2 linked regions of the Macaca mulatta genome follow. The protein of the gene in region 1 binds, or shares a complex with, the protein of each later gene. Links are inferred from orthologs where the notes say so. Each region holds a gene or a part of one and is shown in the gene's direction. Other genes may lie near its edges.

What was found. Proteins that work in one complex are often made in the same cells at the same time.
Region 2: PPIL2 (region 1) and SCNM1 share a complex: the UniProt entries of both Homo sapiens proteins name them as parts of the minor spliceosome. The link is inferred for Macaca mulatta from reciprocal best matches to the Homo sapiens genes PPIL2 and SCNM1.

The regions. Positions count from the first base shown.
Region 1 is NC_133415.1:31,327,101-31,331,652, reverse strand, and holds the start of PPIL2 (RING-type E3 ubiquitin-protein ligase PPIL2), read left to right. Parts: upstream 1-1,542; 5' UTR 1,543-1,633; coding exon 1,634-1,665; exon of another isoform or gene 1,666-1,708; intron 1,709-4,552. UniProt on the Homo sapiens protein: Has a ubiquitin-protein ligase activity acting as an E3 ubiquitin protein ligase or as an ubiquitin-ubiquitin ligase promoting elongation of ubiquitin chains on substrates.
Region 2 is NC_133406.1:115,922,506-115,927,102, reverse strand, and holds the start of SCNM1 (sodium channel modifier 1), read left to right. Parts: upstream 1-1,631; 5' UTR 1,632-1,745; coding exon 1,746-1,796; exon of another isoform or gene 1,797-1,845; intron 1,846-2,070; coding exon 2,071-2,141; intron 2,142-2,497; coding exon 2,498-2,586; intron 2,587-2,683; coding exon 2,684-2,781; intron 2,782-2,888; coding exon 2,889-2,977; intron 2,978-4,010; coding exon 4,011-4,205; intron 4,206-4,597. Other genes in the region: LYSMD1 (lysM and putative peptidoglycan-binding domain-containing protein 1), read right to left, coding at 672-851. UniProt on the Homo sapiens protein: As a component of the minor spliceosome, involved in the splicing of U12-type introns in pre-mRNAs. Plays a role in the regulation of primary cilia length and Hedgehog signaling.

The DNA.
Region 1 (4,552 bases):
CCACTGCTGCTATGAGTTTCATGTGTACCCTTCCAAATGTTTTGTCTCTGCACACAAACACACACACATACATTAAAATTTTAACCCAAGTACGAGTCACATTGCACGTTCTTCTCAGCAACTTGCTTTTTTCCATAAATAAAACACTGAGATGTCTTTACTTCTTGGGATATCTACTTCATTCCTTTAAGCAGTTCCAAAATAGTCCACTGCATGGCTGTACCAGGGGTCGTTTAGCTGTGTTCTCATAGACATTTGTTTCCAGTTTTTTTTTTTTCTTTGAGACAGAGTCTTGTTCTGTCACCCCAGGCTGGAGTACAATGGCACAATCTTGGCTCACTGCAACCTCTGCCTCCTGGGTTCAAGTGATTCTCACTGCCTCAACCTCCTGAGTAGCTGGAACTACAGGCACCCGCCACCACACCCGGCTAATTTTTGTATTTTTAGTAGAGACAGGGTTTTGCAATGTTGGCCAGGCTAGTCTTGAACTCCTGACCTCAAGTGATCCGCTTGCCTCAGCCTCTCCAAGTGCCGGGATTACAGGTGTGAGCCACCACGTCCGTCCAGACATGTTAAATTTGAGATCAGCGGCTACCCAAGTGGAGATCAGGAACCTGGAGTACTGGTGACTTAGTATTGGGAGTCATGGGATATAAATGGCGTTTAAAATTAGGAGCCTAGGCAAGATTACCCCGGGCCTGAGTGTAGTTGGGGGCCCAAGGTACTGTTCTGACCCAAGGCAAGAGTCTGGCAGAAGAGAAGGAAGGGATCAGGCAGGGTTTTGGACCTCTAGGCTTGATGGCCACCTGCTGCTGGGCCTCCAAGGGGCCTGGAGGCGGTGCGGACGGAATATGCAGAGAGAATGAGAAGTGAGCGAGTAGAACGAGGGTGGTACATGGCTTTGAAGGAGTCGGCCACGGAGGCGGGAAAGGATGGGGTGGAGGCTCATGAGACTTGAAGCTCTAGGAGGACATTGAAAAAGACCTGAGCGCTGGCCGGGCGCGGAGGCTCAGGCCTGTAATCCCAGCACTTTGGGAGGCCAAGGCGGGAGGACTGCTTGAGCTCAAGAGCTCCAGACCAGCCTGGGCAAAATAGTAAGAGCTTGTCTCTACAAAAAATTAACATATTAGCCGGGTGTGGTGGCGCGTGCCCGTAGCTACTCGGGAGGCTGAGGTGGGAGAATCGCTTGAGCCTGGGAGGTCGAGGCTGTAGTGAGCTGTGATTGCGCCACTGCACTCCAACCTGGGCGACAGAGCGAGATCCTGTCTCGAAAATAAAATAAGACCTGAGAACCCAGTATGGGAATGGCCCTGAGCCGTGGCTGAGGGGGGCAGGCGAGGCGGTCGGGAGAGACCCTTCGAGAAGATGGGGCTTCGAGGCTGAGGGAGCTCTGCCCCGAGAAGGCGCCAGCGAGACACAACACACCTAGCTAGGACCCCATACTGGGCAGGCGATCCTTCCGAGCATGCGCACCTGGCGCTAGCGAACCACAATTCCCAGCACGCCAAGCGCCTGTTTCCGGGGCGAGCCGCGGAACCCGGAAGTGGTCACGAAACTCGGCCGTGGCTCCATGGTCTGAGTGGTCAGCGGTTGCTTTTTCGTGCTAGGTAGTTGCCGCCGCCGCCGCGCCGCCATGGGGAAGCGACAGCACCAGAAGGACAAGATGTAAGTTGAGTCGCAGTCGGGAGTGGCGCTCCGCTCTGCCTCAGTAAACCGCCTGTCCCGCCCTGCTCGCCGCTCGCCTTCCCTCTCAGCTGGTCCCCAGAGCCCAGCCCAAAAGTCACTTCCTCCCGGAAGCTGCCACCGTCTCTCCAGTCAGGGTAATGACCCTCGGGCCGCCGCGCTCTCCCAGGGGGCCGCGGCTCCGAAGACGTCAGCTGCGGGCTCGAGCGCAGCCCGGTCTTTCTTTACTCTAGTTCTGCCCGGACCGTGCCCCGTCTGCTCGCGAGCTTTGCCCCTGTAGTCTCTCCCTCTTCCGTACTTCGCGTCTGGCTGTGTTCTGGTTCATGCCTATCAGCCTGCACACGTGCTGCAGAGCCTTCCTATTTAAAGCAAACCAGGCCGGGCGCGGTGGCTCACCTGTAATCCCAGCACTTTGGGAGGCTGAGGCGGGCGGATCACCTGAGGTCAGGAGTTCAAGACCAGCCTGGCCACCATGATGAAACCCCGTCTCTACCCAAAACACAAAAATTAGCGGGGCGTGGTGGCGGGCGCCTGTAATCCTAGCTACTCGGGAGGCTGAGGCAGGAGAATCGCTTGAACCCGGGAGGCGGAGATTGCCGTGAGCCGAGATCGTGTCACTGCACTCCAGCCTGGGCGACAGAGCCAGACTCTGTCTCAAAAATAATAAATAAAATAAAACAAAAAAATCCGCCTATGCCCCGTGCCCCGCGTTCCCCTCCTGCTGCCGCCGTGATTTCAGAACAAGTTAGAGACCCGTGGCTTCATGCTGTTTTCTGAGTCTCTTGAAACCACTCAAGTCAGAATTTCGATCCCAGAACTGCCCCTTGTCAGGTTGCCAGCGACTTCTTGTTGCTAACTCTAGTATTCAATCCTCAGTCCTCGTGTTTTTTTTGAGACGGAGTTTCGCTCTTGTTGCCCATGCTGGGGAGTGCAGTGGTGCGATCTCGGCTTTCCGCAACCCCCGCTTCCCAGGTTCAAGCGATTCTCCTGCTTCAGCCTCCCGAATAGCTGGGATTACAGGCATGTGCCCCCAGGCCCGGCTAATTTTGTATTTTTAGTAGAGAAGGGGGTTTCTCCATGTTGGTCAGGCTGGTCTCGAACTCCGATCTCAGGTGATCCGCCCGCCTTGGCCTCCCAAAGTACTGGGATTATAGGCGAGCCACCGCGCCAGGCAGCCTCAGTCCTCATTTTGTTGGGGTTCTCAACAGTATGTCACACTGTTAACCACTCCCTCCTTCTGAAGCCCTCCTTTGGTATCTGAGATTTCCTGTGCTCTTTGTTTTCCATCGACTTCAGCGGCCTCTCTTTTCCCAGCCTCCTTTCTGGACCCTCCTCCCTTTTCTCAGATCTCATAGGTTTCTTTTCCATAAACATTCTCTGTGAGTGATATAATTTCCCAGTCATCTATAAGCTGCTTTCCCCAGTCTTGTGTAGTTAGTGGCTTACTTGATATCTCCACTGGAGGACTGATAAACATCTCAATTTTTTTTTTTTTTTTTTTTTTTTTTTTTTTTTTGAGACGGGAGTCTCAGGCTGTTGCCCAGGCTGGAGTGCAGTGGCGCGATCTCGGCTCACTGCAAGCTCCGCCTCCTGGGTTCACGCCATTCTCCTGCCTCAGCCTCCTGAGTAGCTGGGACTACAGGCGCCCGCCACCGCGCCCGGCTAATTTTTTGTATTTTTAGTAGAGACGGGGTTTCACTGTGGTCTCGATCTCCTGACCTCGTGATCCGCCCGTCTCGGCCTCCCAAAGTGCTGGGATTACAGGCTTGAGCCACCGCGCCCGGCCTCAATTTTTTTTTTTTTTGAGATGGAGTCTTGCTGTGTTGCCCAGGCTGGAGTGCAATGGTGCGATCTTGGCTCACTGCAACCTCTACTTCCCAGATTCAAGCGATTCTCCCACCTCCGCCTCCCCAGTAGCTGAGATTACAGGCGCCTGCCACCATGCCCGGCTAATTTTTGTATTTTTAGTAGAGACAGGTTTCACCATGTTGGCCAGGCTGGTATCAAACTCCTGACCTCGGGTGATCCACACGCCTCTGCCTCCCAAAGTGCTGGGATTACAGGCATGAGCCACCGTGCCCTCAAATTTAATATGCCTTAAACAGAACTCTTGATTTTCAGCTCCTGAGCCTGCTCCTCCCTGTAAGCTAAAAATAAAATCCTAAATCCCCTTACTGGCTGAGCAGACACCCTTGTGCCTAAGAGAACTCCAGGAAAACCTTAAAACTGAGTTCCTGGCCATGATGCGATGGAGGTCAGCTGTACCTTGTTATATCTTCCTCCCTTTTGTGGCCCAGACACAACAACTGACTGGCATTAACGTTGAAATAGAGATCATAAAGGGGCCCGGCGCGGTGGCTCGCACCTGTAATCCCAGCACTTTGGGAGGCTGAGGTGGTGGATCATGAGGTCAGGAGATCGAGACCATCCTGGTTAACATGGTGAAACCCCGTCTCTACTAAAAATACAAAAAAAAAAAAAATTAGCCGAGCGTGGTGGCTAATTTTTAATAAAAATAAAGAAATAGAAATAAGATTGATGAAACAGACTCTTTGTGGCAATAAGATACCAAATTATAAATAGAACCTATAGTCATGCCAGACAACTTCCCTGGTTAAGTTACCCACCCCTACGCCTAAAGAATAAACTATATCCTTTTTTTTTTTTTTTTTTTTTTTTTTTTTTTTTTTTTTTTGAGACAAGTCTTACTCTGTCGCCCAGGCTGGAGTATAGTGGTGCGATCTCGGTTCACTGCAACGTCTGCCTCCCAGGTTCAAGCAATTCTCTGCCTCAGCCTCCTGAGTAGCTGGGATTACAAGCACCCACCATCACGCCCAGCGAATTTTTTTTTTTTTTTTTTTTTTTTTTT
Region 2 (4,597 bases), on another chromosome or scaffold:
GTGGGGGTAGGGGGAGTAACCTCATCAACTTCAATGCTATACATTTTTACATCTATCCAATTTCCCCCATGCATGACCTGAAATACTTGGTGTAGAGTACCTGTTTTGTGCCAGGGAAGCCGCCTTACTAGAAAGAAGGCAGAGCACTGAGGAGGAACCAAGAGCAAGGAGAGGTAGGCACTTTAGGAACTGAGAACTAAAAATAAGCTCTCCATTATTTGCTGTAAACGTTTAATCACTCTCAATGTAAAATTTTCTGTGTGGTTTACAGAGTCAGACAGACCTGTTTGAATCCCATATCTGACAATCATTATTTGACCTTAGTCAAAATGGTTAACCAATCCAAGTCTCAGTTTCTTCATCTGCCAAAAGGGAACAATAAATGTATACTTGATACGGACGTGAGGGTGAAATGAGCTAACGTATGTGAAGCCCCTAGCACAGTGTCTGGCATGATAAAATAGGAGCTGTTCCTCTCCATTGGAATAGTAGAGCAGAACTTGTCCCAACCACGCAGTGCAACACTGTGATGGGAAAACAAAGATAAAAGCAGAACAGAGTTCAACACATTAGGAACATTTCAGGGGAGGTTACCTAGAAGGTCCACTACATTCTTCTCAGGACTAAATCCCTCCTGACTCTTGTCTGCACCCCAATCCTGGAAAACTCACCGTCACCCCATATTTGAGTGCTAGTCCAGCCAGGGTGTCTCCGGGCTCCAAATGATGCTCCAGGCGTCTTTCCCTCACTGGGGAGCAGGCCGATTGCACCAGGCTTCCATATGAACGAGCCCGGCTCCCGTGAAGCAGTCCTGACCCCCCTGGCGGGGGCTGTCTAGACGGGGAAGCCATCTCTTCACCCTGCCGACAGCTAGGTTGCAACTAGGGGAGGCCCGACCGAGACTGCGAATGACAGGCCTGAAGTCTGGGAATAGATATTCAGGGGATTCCTTTCCCCTTCTCTCTTCCCCTGTGTCCCCGCCTCCCCAGCACTACGCCACCTGCCCCCTCCCGGTTTCTCCTCCCTCCAAGTCCTTATCCACAAATCTGTCCCTTGAGTATTCAGTCCCTCCCTGATTCGCCCCTAAGCACCCCTCCGACTTTGAACTCCCCCACAACTCCTCGCTACATTGACCTCTGACCTTTGAACTCTAGAAATAATCCTCAACACTCTTTCCTCAGTTTGCCCCCAAGTAGTCTGGCCTCAGGGCGCTCCCACATCCCAGCTCTGCCCGGTCCCGGGGTTTGTTTGCTAGAGCCAGGAACAAATCAGGCCCACCCCAGGTGAACTGTCGCCGCAGACGAAGAGCGTGAGGATTGCGAGAATTTGTAGTACACCTTCCACTCAGAGATCCTCAAAGGTCCGCTCCGCATCAGATAGGTCACACCCTCAAATTTCGGCTCCACATCTAGGTTCTTGTCCCTCTAAACGCCTCAGATCCACCAAGATGCAAGGGCCTGGATCCAGCTGAGCGGCAAGGTCTTTGAGGAAAAGACTTCATTTCCCAAAAGGCGTCGCGTCTGCGGAGTCGCACGGCACCATAGGAAATGCAGTTCCCTCCACGCGCCAGAGAGTGGATATCCGGATGGCGCAATGCATGCGTGGAAGTGCATTCCCGGAAGTACGGGGGCCGACAGGAAGACAAAGAGAAAAGAGAAGGCGCTGTCCCGCTCTTGCTACGGTGGCCTAGAGGAGTGGCGAAACCGGAACAAGAAAATTTATCACTTCTGGGACTCACAGTCGTGATGTCTTTCAAGAGGGAAGGAGACGATTGGAGTCAACTCAATGTGCTCAAAGTAAGCGTGAGCGGAGAGGATCTGCAGCCTCTTCAGTCGCTCTCTGAAGGTTGGGAAGGAGCTTTGTTTCATTGCTCTGGCAACAACTCGGGGGTGCAGGAGAGAACCAGGCGACTTAGAGCTGTGTAGTGACTCCTTTTTCGGTCTATGATCGCTGTTCTCCCCAGGGTCCTTATGTCCTTATTCCGTTTGACTCCTCATTTCTATCATTTAACTTCCATCCCTCTCTCCTATCCTGCTGATCCGTCCGGATTTCTTCCCCTACTCCCTGCAGAAAAGAAGAGTCGGGGACCTCCTCGCCAGTTACATCCCAGAGGATGAGGCGCTGATGCTTCGGGATGGACGGTAAGAGCGAGGAGTGGCTCAAGCCTGAGGGTTTTGCGGTTAGAGGCTCAATAGCTGTGTTGCCCAGGCTGTCCTTGAACTCTAGGGCTCAAGTGATCCTGCCTTCTCAGCGTCGCGATTAGCTGGGATTACAGGCGCACGCCACCACGCCCGGCTTCAACAAACTTTTGTTATTAATTAGGACAGCAGAAGTATCTAGGATTCTTTGGCGGCTAGTGAGGACTGGAAGAAGTGGAGATTGGGTCACCAGGGAGTTGGGTTTTGCAAAGACTGCTAGGACAGGGTGGGACTTACGGCAGGGACAGGCCCAACCCTCTTCCCCTGGACCAGTTATCCTCTTCTCTACCCCTGCTCAGCTTTGCTTGTGCCATCTGCCCCCATCGACCGGTACTGGACACCCTGGCCATGCTGACTGCCCACCGTGCAGGCAAGAAACATCTGTCCAGTAAGTTCGGGGGAAGACAGGGGATGGGGAATAAATCGAAATCTCTGCACACCAGCCTTGGTGCTATGCTTTTAATTCTGTTTCCCTTTCTCTTCAGGCTTGCAGCTTTTCTATGGCAAGAAGCAGCCGGGAAAGGAAAGGAAGCAGAATCCAAGACATCAGAATGAATTGAGGAGGGAAGAAACCAAAGCTGAGGTAATCAGAGAGTGGAGAGTGTGTTCTAGGCAAGACCCTGCTGCACACACCAGGCTGGAAGGGCAGAGGGCTGAAGGCTCTGACTCTGTCTCCCATCTTCTTACCAGGCTCCTCTGCTAACCCAGACACGACTTATCACCCAGAGTGCTCTGCACAGAGCTCCCCACTATAACAGTTGCTGCCGCCGGAAGTACAGGTATGGGAGGGGAAAGCCAGAGGTAGGAAGGCTCGGAAGGAGATAGAGGGCTCTGAAAGTGTTTTCCAGTCTGTATTCTGAGGAATACTAGCGTTCTGGAGATGTTACTTAGTGTTTCAAGAAAAGGAGAATTTTGGCCGGGCACGGTGGCTCACACCGGTAATCCCAGCACTTTTGGAGGCTTAGGCGGTGGATCACTTGAGATCAGGAGTTCAAGACCAGCCTGGCCAACATGGTGAAACCCCGTCTCTACCAAAAATATAAAAAATTAGCTGGGTGTGTGGTGTGTGCCTGTAATCCCAGCCACTCAAGAGGCCGAGGTGGAAGAATTGCTTGAATCCGGGAGGCAGAGGTTGCTGTGAGCCAGGATCATACCACTTCACTCCAGCCTAGGTGACAGAGTGAGACTCCATCTCAAAAGAAAAAGAAAAGGAGAATTTTGTGATTTTTAAATAAAGTTTGGGAAATGGCACTTTGTAATTCTACTTGAAGAGTAACAGTTTTAGGCCGGGCGCAGTGGCTCAAGCCTGTAATCCCAGCACTTTGGGAGGCCGAGACGGGTGGATCGCGAGGTCAGAAGATCGAGACCATCCTGGCTAACACGGTGAAACCCCGTCTCTACTAAAAAATACAAAAAACTAGCCGGGTGAGGTGGCGGGCGCCTGTATCCCAGCTACTCGGGAGGCTGAGGCAGGAGAATGGCGTAAACCCGGGAGGCGGAGCTTGCAGTGAGCTGAGATCTGGCCACTGCACCCCAGCCTGGGTGACAGAGCAAGACTCCATCTCAGAAAAAAAAAAAAAAAAAAAAGAGTAACAGTTTTAAAAGCTATACAAAGTCTTAAGAATTAAAAAAAAAACTTGTAAAATTTAAAGCTAGCCTTTCCCAAATTCATGATTCTAAAATCCTTTGTATGCAGAACTTACTAATATCTTGAAAAATATAGTTTAAGAAACACTGTTTTAAGAGGTTGGGAGTCATAGGAGAGTTGGCCCTTTCCCTTACTGCTTTTACAGACTATTCTTCTCTACCTAGACCAGAAGCCCCTGGTCCCTCTGTCTCCCTTTCTCCTGTGCCACCCTCAGAGGTCGAACTCCAAAGCGGGAAGATCAGTAGGGAACCTGAACCTGGGGCTGGCCCACAGGCCGAGGAGTCAGCAACTGTCTCAGCCCCTGCACCCATGAGCCCCACAAGAAGACGAGCCCTGGACCATTATCTCACCCTTCGAAGGTGAGTGTGCCTAATCAGTTTCCTCAGATTTTCTTTTCTCTCTGACCCTTCTTGTTTCAAAGCTTTTTTTTTTTTTTTTTTTTTTTTTTTTGAGACGGAGTCTCGCTCTGTCACCAGGCTGGAGTGCAGTGGTGTGATCTCATCTCAGCTCACTGCAACCTCCGCCTCCCAGGTTCAAGCGATTCCCCTGCCTCAACCTCTCGAGTAGCTGGGATTACAAGCATGTGCCACCATGCCTGGCTTATTTTTTGTATTTTAGTAGAGGCGGGGTTTCACTACGTTGGTGAGGATGGTCTCAATCTCCTGACCTTGTGATCCACCCACCTCGGCCTCCCAAAGTGCTGGGATTACAGGCGTGAGCCACCGTGCCCGCCCCCCATTTTTTTTTTTTT